2 linked regions of the Macaca mulatta genome follow. The protein of the gene in region 1 interacts with the protein of each later gene in a biochemical or structural test. Links are inferred from orthologs where the notes say so. Each region holds a gene or a part of one and is shown on either strand. Other genes may lie near its edges.

Region 1 (6,032 bases):
GCTAGGTTTAACTGAATCTGAGCAAATAAGACTGCAAGTATTTTCATTCTCCACAGGTGCTCAGTAGAAATATGGATTCCAGCTATAAAATGGTCTCAAAATATATAAAATGGTCTCATTGAGTGAGGGTCTAAATGCACGTATGTTAATCTGGTACCCAGATCTTACATGCTTTGTTTTGTTTTGTTTTGAGGCGAGTCTTGCTGTGTCCCTCAGGCTGGAGTGCAGTGGTGTGAACAACTTACTGCAGCCTTGACCTCTGGGGTTCAAGCAATTCTTCCACCTCAGCCTTTTGAGCAGCTGGGACCACAACTGTGGGCCACACAGCTAATTTTAAAATTTTTCTGTAGAGACGGGGGTCTCCTTATCTTGCCCAGGCTGGTCTCAAACTCCTGAGCACAAGCAATCCTCCTGCCTCAGCCCCTCAAAGTGCTGGGAATACAGGCATGAGCTATGATGCCCAGCCCCCTTAACTTGCATTTTTGAAAGTCATCACCAACTTCAGGACTGTATATAACACTCCCATAAAAATAAAAAATTAAACCCATATAAAAGAGAATTCTCGACACTTACTTTTCAAGCTCTTCCTGAGAATGGGCAAATGTACAATTTGTTCCTCGTGGACAACCCCCTTGCTGTCGCAGATCTCGGCACATGCTAGTCTTGTATTTGCTGTTTGGCTGAGGCTACAAAAATGGAACACATTCAATGAGTGGCAAAGTGAAGATTCCATTTGTAATTCACTCTAGGAAGTTCAGAACTTTATAATTACACCTTTAATTCTTTTTCACATTAGACAAGTAATTCTTGTGCTGAAACAACTAATATTCCATTGTTTCCTGTTGTGAGTTATGTGACATAACCCTGAGTTGGCACTTTAGATATTCCTTCTGAAGATTATTTGAAACTGGCTCAAATGTTATTATGTCCATTTATTCATTAGTTAACAGAATGCCCAGAAAAAGACAATATTTTTTCATCAATTTATTGCTGTCTTAAAATTCTGCTACCAAAATCAAACAATTTTAAAAAGCATTTAAAAAAGCTGAAAGCTTTGTGTACTTAAACTTTCTCAGAAAAGGTAGAATACAATTCCCTCAAAAGTGAAAAATTACCAATTCACTTGTCAACTTGAGGGTACAACTCTCAGGCTTAAACTATCTGAGTTCACACAATGCGGCAGAATATTAAAATTTCACTATGACTTCTACAATTTGCATCAAAATCTAAGATATTCTTATGGGCCTAAGATGAAAACATTTGCTTTTCAGTCAACATTTTAAGTTATAATGTCTCCTAAGAATGAGGAAAGAAGAGTACAAAGTATGGGTTTGATCCCAGCTCTTACTGACAGCACAATCTTTTTTATTTATTTTTATTTTTATTTTTGAGACGGAGTCTGGCTCTGCTGCCCAGGCTGGAGTGCAGTGGCGCCATCTCGGCTCACTACAAGCTCCACTTCATGGGTTCACGCCATTCTCCCTGCCTCAGCCCCCAAGGAGCTGGGACTACAGGTGCCTGCCACCACGCCTGGCTAATTTGTATTTGTAGTAGAGATGGGGTTTCACTGTGTTAGCCAGGATGGTCTCGATCTCCTGACTTCGTGATCTGTCCCCCTTGGCCTCCCAAAGTGCTGAGATTATAGGCATGAGACACTGCACCCACCCCCTGACAGCACAATCTTATATTATTTAACCTCTTTGAATTTCAGCTTGGATATAGCAACTACATTGCAGGTGACTGTGAGGATAAGAAATAATATATGTAAAACATTGAATGTAGTGAATGGCTCATAATAACTTAATAAACAGAAGTTATTAGTATAAAGGATTATATCTTAACTTCTTTTTATTTTATTTTATATTTTTGGAGACAAGAGTCACTCTATTGCCCAGGCTGGAGTGCAGTGGCGCTATCTCGGCTCACTGTAGCCTCTATCTCCCGGGTTCAAGCGATTCTCCTGACTCAGCCTTCTGAGTAGCTGGGATTACAGGTGTCCATCACCATGCCAGGCTAATTTTTGTATTTTTTATTTTTTTTTTAGTAGAGACGGGGTTTCACCATGTTGGCCAGGCTGGTCTCGAACTTCTGACCTCAAGTGATCTGCTCACCTCGACCTCCCAAAGTGCTGGGATTACAGGCGTGAGCCACTGTGTCTGGCCAGGATTATATCTCAATTTCTAAAGTACATTGAAAATTACCTTGAAAATTCAAATTTCAGCTGAGCACGGTGGCTCACGCCTGTAATCCCAGCACTTTGGGAGGTCGAGGTGGGCAGATCACCTGAGGTCAGGAGTTTGAGACCAGCCTGGCCAACATGGTAAAACCCTATCTCTACAAAAAATACAAAAATTAGCAGGGCATGGTGGCGCTTGCCTGTAATCCCAGCTACTTGGGAGGCTGAGGCAGGAGAATTACTTGAACTCAGGAGGCAGAGGTTGCAGTGAGCTGAGATAGCATCACTGCACTCCAGCCTGGGCAACAGAGTGAGGCTTTGTCTCAAAAAAAGAAAAGAAAAAAGAAAATTCGAATTCCATAAATGACAATTTCCCACGGTAGAAAAGAAGTAGATAAAACGTTTGGAATCAATTATCTACATTTGGTCAAAAAAATTCTGTAATGAAGTATACTCACATCTAAGATACCCTCAAAACTCTTGCTGTGCTATAAAATGTTACCAAGTACATTAAAAACTGGGTTTCTCCCAAAAGAACAGAGATGGTAAAAACTTATGAGTCACATACTGAGTCCAATTAACAAAACAGCTTGTTAAGATGTTCAGGATGAAACTGAGTTAGAGATAATAGCAGTCAGAAATGTAATAAATATACTTACCTGAGGGGTCTCATGGCCTTTTCTACTATAATTTTGTATGAAGTCCACAAGGCCATGAACTACTGTTTTAACAGCTACCATTGCATTTTCTAGCTGCTCCCAAGTTGGTGAAACAGCATCTAAAATAAGCCACCAAGGGCATGGGGGTTGGGAGGGGAAGAATGTTAGCAGTAATTCTCTTGTATTATTCACCTCGAAAGTAGAAAAAAATATAAGCAACTGAGCATGTTCCCACATACCTGGATTAGGGTCTATGTTTGCAAGAAGCTCTAAATGAGGTCTCAGTCTATTTAAGTTAGCTGGGTCACCTGTTCGTTGCAAAACAATTGTCAATTCCTGGACACTCTTTGCAAATGACTCTGGAGACTGTAGCTAACAAACAGAAATGAGAATGCTTTTTACTTTGGTTCTCATGACACATTTATATTCAAATACTTTCAATTTTCAACACATTTAATAGGTTTTCAAGTGTCTTCAGATTCCATAGTAGGACTATCAGTGATGAATTAAATTTTCACCTCAGAATCTGCCCTATGAAATTCATCATTAGACACTTAGAAAACTTATAAGCTGTATTAACTCTCTGAGGTCAGAATATAGATAAGCTTGAAATTTTGTAAGCCTCACTGCTTTTATGCTAGTATCATGTATTTGTTTCCCTGTTGCATCCCTTTATTTTGCAAGTAGAAAAATAAAAAGAAAATAAGGATAATTTATAAGAGTCTGACATTTAAAAACACAGGAATCTCCAACTGTTTGTGTATAGACTCTTTAGAATATTCTATTACTCTTCAACGTAACAGCAATGGTAGAACATCAGCATCTCTAATTTCACAAACCTTATCAATGATAGACTGCATGTGTGATTTATGAGCCAAATCACCATACAAAAGAGAGGACCACTGTTCAGGTGAAATACGGAGTCCTGCTTCCATAGCAATATGAACAATTTGGGCATCATGTTCCCTGCGTAACGCTTCATAACTCCGAAATTCTTCCTTCAGCTGCATTAAGGAAGAGTCTTCATCTCTTTTGGTAACCTAAGAAATAGAAAAGAGAAAAAGAAACTCATCAGAATTGGTCTGTGCTTTCTCCCTTCAACTGATTCGTTTATTCTTTTTTCACGGAGGCTGGGGGATACTTACATATCAGACACCAAACAAATAAGGTACATAGATAAGATAATGTCCTGACCACAAATTCTTTCTGGAACAGAACAGAACTTACATAACTAAATACATAATCCCTGCCTTCAATGATTTCAGCCACTGTTAAGAAAGAGAAACTTGTAAGTAGAAAATTACAGTAAAAGTGCTATTATAAGGCTTGATGGCAACAAAGAGGAAAAGGAATTAAATTAGCGAGAAGAACGGGATTTCAGAAAAGGCTTCTCCCAGCTGAAAGCTACATGAATTGATTTGTGTACAATAAATATGAGTTTCCTGAGCAAAGAAAGGTGAGGAGGCCGGGGTGGTGGCTCATGCCTGTAATCCCAGCACTTTGAGAGGCCGAGGTGGGCGGGTCACTTGAAGTCAGGAGTTTGAGACCAGCCTGGTCAACGTGATGAAACCCCATCTCAAATAAAAATACAAAAATTAGTCTGGCGTGGTGGTGTGAGGCAACTGTAATCCCACCTACTCGGGAGGCAGAGGTTGCAGTGAGCTAAGATAGCACCATAGCACTCTAGCCTGAGGGACAGAGTGAGACTCCGTCTCAAAAAAAAAAAAAAAAAAAAAAAAACGAAAAAAAAAGGGGGAGAAATAGAATTTTTAAAAGAGCAGCAAGTGGTGAAACAGAAACATGAAAAAGCAGAACACATAGGGTTAAGGTATGATACAGGCTAGAGAATAATAATAGAAGGCATTATATACTACGGTAGGAAATTTGGATATTATCATGAAGGGAATGTGAACCCACTGATTTTTTTGGAGGGGTGGGGATGGGGAGGACAGGGGATGGGGGGGACAGGGTCTCACTTTGTCACCCAGGTTGGAGTGCAGTGGCACGATCTAGGCTTGCTGTAGCCTTGACTTTCTGGGCTCGAGCAATCTTCTCGCTTTGGCCTCCCAAAGTGCTGGGATTACAGGTATAAACCACTGTACAGGGCTGATTTAGGATTTTTAAGCAGAGAAGTGACATGATCAGATTTATGTTTTAAAAAACATCACTTTGGTAACAGGAGAGGATAAAGATAGACAAGCAAGGAATCCAGCTAATAGGTACACATATATTAGCACTACCACATGATAATTAAGAAATTTTCTTGGGAGGCTGAGGCAGGAGGATGGCCTGCGCCCAGGAGTTCAAGGCTGCAGTGAATTATGATGGCACCACTGCACTCCAGCCTAAGCAACAGAGCGAAAGTCCGTCACTTAAAAGAAGAAATTTTCTGCTACCCCAGAAATTATCATCAGGGTATATAGCTTTAACCTCTACTTAAGTAGTAAAAAACTATACATTAAAAAGTTAAAGAGTTTTATAGGGCCTAATGAAGTGTGTAGAACTAGAGATTAATTTCAATAGTTGCCCTAAGAGCATGAAACTAAACACTATGACTATGAGGCAGATAGTGTCCAAGTCTCATTAGTGGAGTTAAATGAATTAATCCCAACACATTTCTATTACCAATTACCTGTTATCTCAAACTAAGCGGTCTGCCAAGAAAACAGTTTTCTGTCTGTACTATTTTCACTCTTGGGAGCTATAAAACCAACAAAATAACCTAAATAAGCTTTGGTTTCAAATTTAAATGTTTTACTTTCATAGAAGCCAATAGGCCTTTCTACTTCCAAGTACATGAGACATTCTCAAGACCCAGGCAGCAACCTACACTCTTGGATCATAAAAACACTTTAAGGATTCAGCTTGCTTTCAGTATCTGTTACTACCTGCTAGCCTATTAGACAATGAAACTACATTTTAAAATATATTGGGGTTCTTCCCTACCCTTTCCACTAAACAAAAAACAACATCTAAAAGCAGAGTGGACCAATCTCCTCAACCTTCCATTTCCTTGTTGTATGTGAGATAACATGTAGGCCATTTTCAGATTAAAGGTATTAATCTAATCACTACAGAGAATGAGATAACAAAAATAATAATGGGTTACAAAGTTTACATACTCCTTATGAAGTTTTCAATATAGTTCCTGATTTCCTTTTAAGACACTAAATGTAAAGAAATTAGGTTTCTGCAGT
Region 2 (5,027 bases), on another chromosome or scaffold:
TTACTTCAATGCTTTTTTAGAAAGCTTTGGAACGTGCCTACCATGGTGGCCAGCTTTCTGATCACTTTACTCCCAAGGAGAACATTTTTGGTGGCTCTGAGCTTCCCTCCTCCTAGGAGCTATTGCTTCAGTATCACTGATCAAATCATAGAAACAATGTCCTTCCAAGTGGTGAAGGTCTGTGTGGGCACCTGTCCTAATTTGGACAGAATTCCAGATGTGGACGGAGGCTCACCCTGTCCTTAGATGGGAGATCTCTTGGTCTGCATGTCTTGACGTAGAGTCTTGTCTCCTCAGATGCCTTGTCTCCTATTCTCCGCACTGGACACATGCGGATCACTTTACTATACCGTTTATGAACCCAGAGTGATTTGGTCGTGTTAGAAGTCATCCCTTCTTTATTTTCCCATTGATGATGAGCCACTTGCAGCCCTGCATGTCAGACTTATCAATGCAACCTCAGGTGTATATCAGACTCAGGAAAAGAAAAGCCACCTCATCTCATTTCCAAGTTATTCCCAATTTCAAATTTTCTTTTTCCTTATCAGATCAGATGTCCAAGCATGTTCCAGCTTAATGGAGTGTACAACACAGTCATTGTAGGCACAAGCAAAGGTTGCCAGGTCAACACATCTAGCCAAGACTGTCAGCCTGAAAAGTGCTATATTGAGAGCCCTTAACATTTATGGGGAGCATACCTAAGATCTTCTCAAAACAAGCCCAATCACAGAGCTGCTCCATGATCTAAAAGGATCCTGCAAATAAATGGGCAAGAGGCTCTTGGAAGTCTCCTTTAGTGTCCTGGGGTTCATAGGGTAGAAGCACACATCTGACTTAATCTCAAAATCCTCAGTGCTACCCTATAATGGAAGAGTCTGCTTACCTGTGGCCACCTCAAACCCGTATACCAGCTTTTCTTCCTAGATATAAGCACCAAGGAAAATCAATGCTGGTACATAGTAGGCACTCCATAGATATTTTTTGAGTGGATGAGCACATGAACGTATATGAATATGCATGTATAAAACATCATTTTCCTCCAACACTGGCTGATTTCATCTGTATAAACTTATTCTTACCTATACTCCTCCTTCCCTGAGAGCTGGATTCTGGGAGAGTCTGGCATATCCCAACACACAGCTTGCTCTAGCTTGCGTGGAGCCTGGAGGGAGGGTGAGAAATGCATGCTTTCATTCTTGCTGTGTCTTCAGAGGATTCAAGCCTACAGGCCTTGTGACTTTAGGCAAAAGATGCCCAGTTCTGTGTCCCGGAGCTCTGTCCTGTATCCTGGGAGTTACTGCAGCAATCTGGGCAGCATGACTGACAGCTTCTTCTTGTGCCCTGTGCCTCTACAGGCTGCACCCCTCCTTGTCCATGTCAGTTCCTTTGCAGCCACCAGCCATAAGAAGAAGCTCTATGTGATTGGAGGAGGGCCCAATGGGAAACTGGCCACAGACAAGACTCAGTGTTATGACCCTTCCACCAACAAGTGGAGTTTGAAGGCGGCCATGCCGGTGGAGGCCAAATGCATCAATGCAGTGAGTTTCCGGGACCGCATCTATGTCGTTGGTGAGTAATGGCTTCTTATTGATCTGAATGGCTTAGAATCTGATTAGCGCTTGGCCGCAGCACGTCAAGGGTGTGTCGCGGTGCTCCACTGCTGGCAACTCACTGCCCCTAGGACCCACTCTGGCTTTCAGAAGAGCCGTCAATCGACTGTTTCTCTTGGCAAGAGGGTAGACTTGGCCTAACCAGAAATTGAATTTTAGTGGTTAAGAGGGAAGAACCCAGAAAAATGGAGCGATGCCCACCGAGTTTCCTCCCTCTCTTCAGGTGGGGCCATGAGGGCGCTGTATGCCTACAGCCCCCTGGAAGACAGCTGGTGCCTGGTGACCCAGCTCAGCCACGAGCGGGCCAGCTGCGGTATCGCACCCTGCAACAACCGGCTCTACATCACCGGCGGGCGGGACGAGAAGAACGAGGTTATCGCCACGGTGCTGTGCTGGGACCCCGAGGCCCAGAAACTGACAGAGGAGTGTGTCCTGCCCCGGGGCGTGTCGCACCACGGCAGTGTCACCATCAGGAAGTCCTACACGCACATCCGCAGGATCGTGCCTGGAGCAGTGTCTGTCTGACAGCAGGATGGGGAGCTGGAGAGCCCCCCAGATCCTCAGCGTGCCTGCCTCACCTCTCACCCTCCTCCAGCCCCACTTCAGGCTGCAGGCTCGAGTTTGAGGCCATGCATCAGGGGATCCCCTTGACTCACTTTGGGAGAACCTTGGAAGTCACAGTTTGGGGTCACTTGAGACTGGCCAGGAATGTTTGCATGACCTACCTCAGGAGGGGAGGTGAGGAAGAGTAATATTTAGTATTCAGGACCCACCCACCCTATGCCGGCTTCTGTGCCAGGCACTTCCTTGTATGGGTTCATTTAACCTGGTGAGTGGCTCTTATCACTTCTAGTTTACAGGTGAGGGAACAGAGTTTCACAGAGGCTAAGTGGCATGCCCCTGATCACTCAGATAGCAAGTAGCTACCCCAGGAGTCTAAAACCCAGGTCTTTCAGCTCCGAAGTCAATGCTCCTTCCACCACGCTGCCTATCTCAGGCAGGAAAAACAAGCAAAAAACCAAAAACAAAACCTGGCTCATGCCAGGCGTGGTGGCTCACGCCTGTAATCCCACACTATGGGAGGCCAAGGCGGGTGGATGACCTGAGGTCAGGAGTTCGAGACCAGCCTGGCCAACATGGTGAGACCCCCCGTCTCTACTGAAAATACAAAATTAGCCTGGCGCAGTGGCAGGCGCCTGTAATTCCAGCTACTCAGGAGGCTGAGGCAGGAGGATCACCTGAACTTGGGAGGTGGAGGTTGCAGTGAGCCGAGATCGTGACACTGCACTGCAGCCCAGGCAACAAAAGTGAAACTCTATCTCAAAAACAAAAACAAAAACAAAGACAAAAAAACTTGGCTCACTTCTTGTTTCGGCAAGTCTGCTAAAAGATTCACTCAGCACGGCAGGGAAATAAAGGTGTTTCCTGTTTTCTTTCCTTTTCTTTTTTATTCTGCATCCTCCCTCATCCCCACCCTTTACCAAAATTTAAACCAAGGAGTCATTTGGGCTCCTTGCCAAGAATATCTCATAGGTTCTTCCACTTGAAAGGTCTGGGGGATGGGTTTGGGAAGGCCTGTTTGCTTTGAAAGAGATGAAAGATGAAATACTTGTGTTCTGTCTTTTTTTTTTTTGAGATGAAGTCGCCCAGGCTGGAGTGCAATGGCATGATCTTGGCTCACTACAACCTCTGTCGCCCTGGTTCAAGTGATTCTCCTGCCTCAGCCTCCTGAGTAGCTGGGATTACAGGCACCTGCCACCACACCCAGCTAATTTTTGTAGTTTTAGTAGAGACGGGGTTTCACCATCTTGGCCAAGCTGGTCTTGAACGCCTGACCTTGTGATCCGCCCTCCTCGGCCTCCCAAAGTGCGGGGATTACAGGCGTGAGCCATGGAACCGGCCTTTTTTTTTTTTTAAATGATCATAAGATGGCCCATTTTGGACCAGAACTGTCATTGCCAGACAGAATTGTACCTTTAGCACAGTCTGGTGCCCTGGCCTCTTAGTGTTCATCAGTTGTACTACAATTTAGAAAAGATGTTTCTAGAGACTTAAACTACTGTTTTATTTTAAAAAGTAAACACCTGAACACAGCTGGCCTCCACAGGAACAACAGATTATCCTTGATGGTACACTTTCTAGTTTTTGGACAGTGATTTAGGTCCACCTTCCTGATACCCCATCCTCCTGAAGCCTTCGTTTTCAGGACTTTTAAAAAGCACTTCTAGTTGTTTTTTTGATCAGTGTAGCTCAATTGTGACTTAAAGAACAGAATCTGTCCTTCACTGTAAGAGCTAGAGCTTTCAAATGAGCTCACTGGAAATTCATTGTAATCCCCAAGCTGGAGAAACAGGTTAAGAGATCCTGTTTCATACGCTGTATTTAAAAAGCAACAATGATAACAACATAGTAACTGCATTACCCAATGGACTTTATTTTCATCATATGATTTCAATTCTCTTTATAGAGTTTTATTTCATGTCCAGTGTGGCTTGTTCTTCTCAGCCGTTTGGGAAGTTAGAGTTATTAGAGTTGACAGTGAACTTAATTTTCATTAAACAGTCATGGTTAGAAGAAGCTAATATTTGAAACAGATTGCAAAAACTTGAAAAATTACAGGTGAGATTTCTGTTTGTGCCAGATTATTGAAGATAAATATAAATGTATGTTGGTGTGTGAAAGGCTCTGTGCCTTAGAGGCATGACAGTTCAGCTCTCTGCTGTGGAAAGTAACACAGGCCAATAGAAGCATATTTGTGGAATTTTAGAACAAACTATGGCTGACTCATGAGCACTATAATAACCATCAGGAAGCTCCCAACTGAAACAATGTAACAATGTAATCTAGTTCAATTCAGCAAACATTCATGGAGTGCTTCATGTCTGCCAAGCCTTGAGGACACCCATGAATGGCAAATCTCCACGCTGGACACTCGATATGGGTAAATAGGCCACCAGTTAATACTTTTGTTTTTCTTTTCTTCAAGTTAGCTAAAAATGAGATGTATATGAAGTGATGAGGCTGGATCCAAGTCTTGATTGCCTTTCAGGGGGTCATGGTGGTAAGCTGTGCAGTAAAGTCAACCAGTGGCCATTGCTTACATGTTTGTCTTTTCAAGGAGCAGATGGTGGTCCTTTGATAAGACCCATTGGCAAACTTCGTGCCCATCAGCAGGTCAACCCTATGCTGGGAAAGTGAGGATTTGGGATTTCTGTGCTATAAACCTGATTCTAAATGTAGGACCCAAGTTTCTGGACTACATCAGAACACCTAAATGAATCATGGAAGCACTCTTTATGATTTTTTACAACACCAGATATGCAGGTGAATTGTGGAAAATTTCATGTAGCTGACACTCAGGAAATGGGGAGTCGTAATAATGACATGGGGTAGGGAACAGATACACCCTGTTAGAAG

Evidence for each region. The genes of interacting proteins can lie anywhere in the genome.
Region 2: the proteins of RC3H2 (region 1) and KLHL6 form a complex in vitro, tested with the Homo sapiens proteins (2 studies listed by BioGRID, with this or other methods). The link is inferred for Macaca mulatta from reciprocal best matches to the Homo sapiens genes RC3H2 and KLHL6.

The regions. Positions count from the first base shown.
Region 1 is NC_133420.1:24,901,916-24,907,947, reverse strand, and holds part of RC3H2 (roquin-2), read right to left. Parts: intron 3,876-6,032; coding exon 3,675-3,875; intron 3,405-3,674; exon of another isoform or gene 3,294-3,404; intron 3,208-3,293; coding exon 3,075-3,207; intron 2,955-3,074; coding exon 2,836-2,954; intron 687-2,835; coding exon 574-686; intron 1-573. UniProt on the Homo sapiens protein: Post-transcriptional repressor of mRNAs containing a conserved stem loop motif, called constitutive decay element (CDE), which is often located in the 3'-UTR, as in HMGXB3, ICOS, IER3, NFKBID, NFKBIZ, PPP1R10, TNF and in many more mRNAs.
Region 2 is NC_133407.1:95,624,367-95,629,393, reverse strand, and holds the end of KLHL6 (kelch-like protein 6), read left to right. Parts: intron 1-1,355; coding exon 1,356-1,569; intron 1,570-1,833; coding exon 1,834-2,135; 3' UTR 2,136-3,043; downstream 3,044-5,027. UniProt on the Homo sapiens protein: Involved in B-lymphocyte antigen receptor signaling and germinal center formation.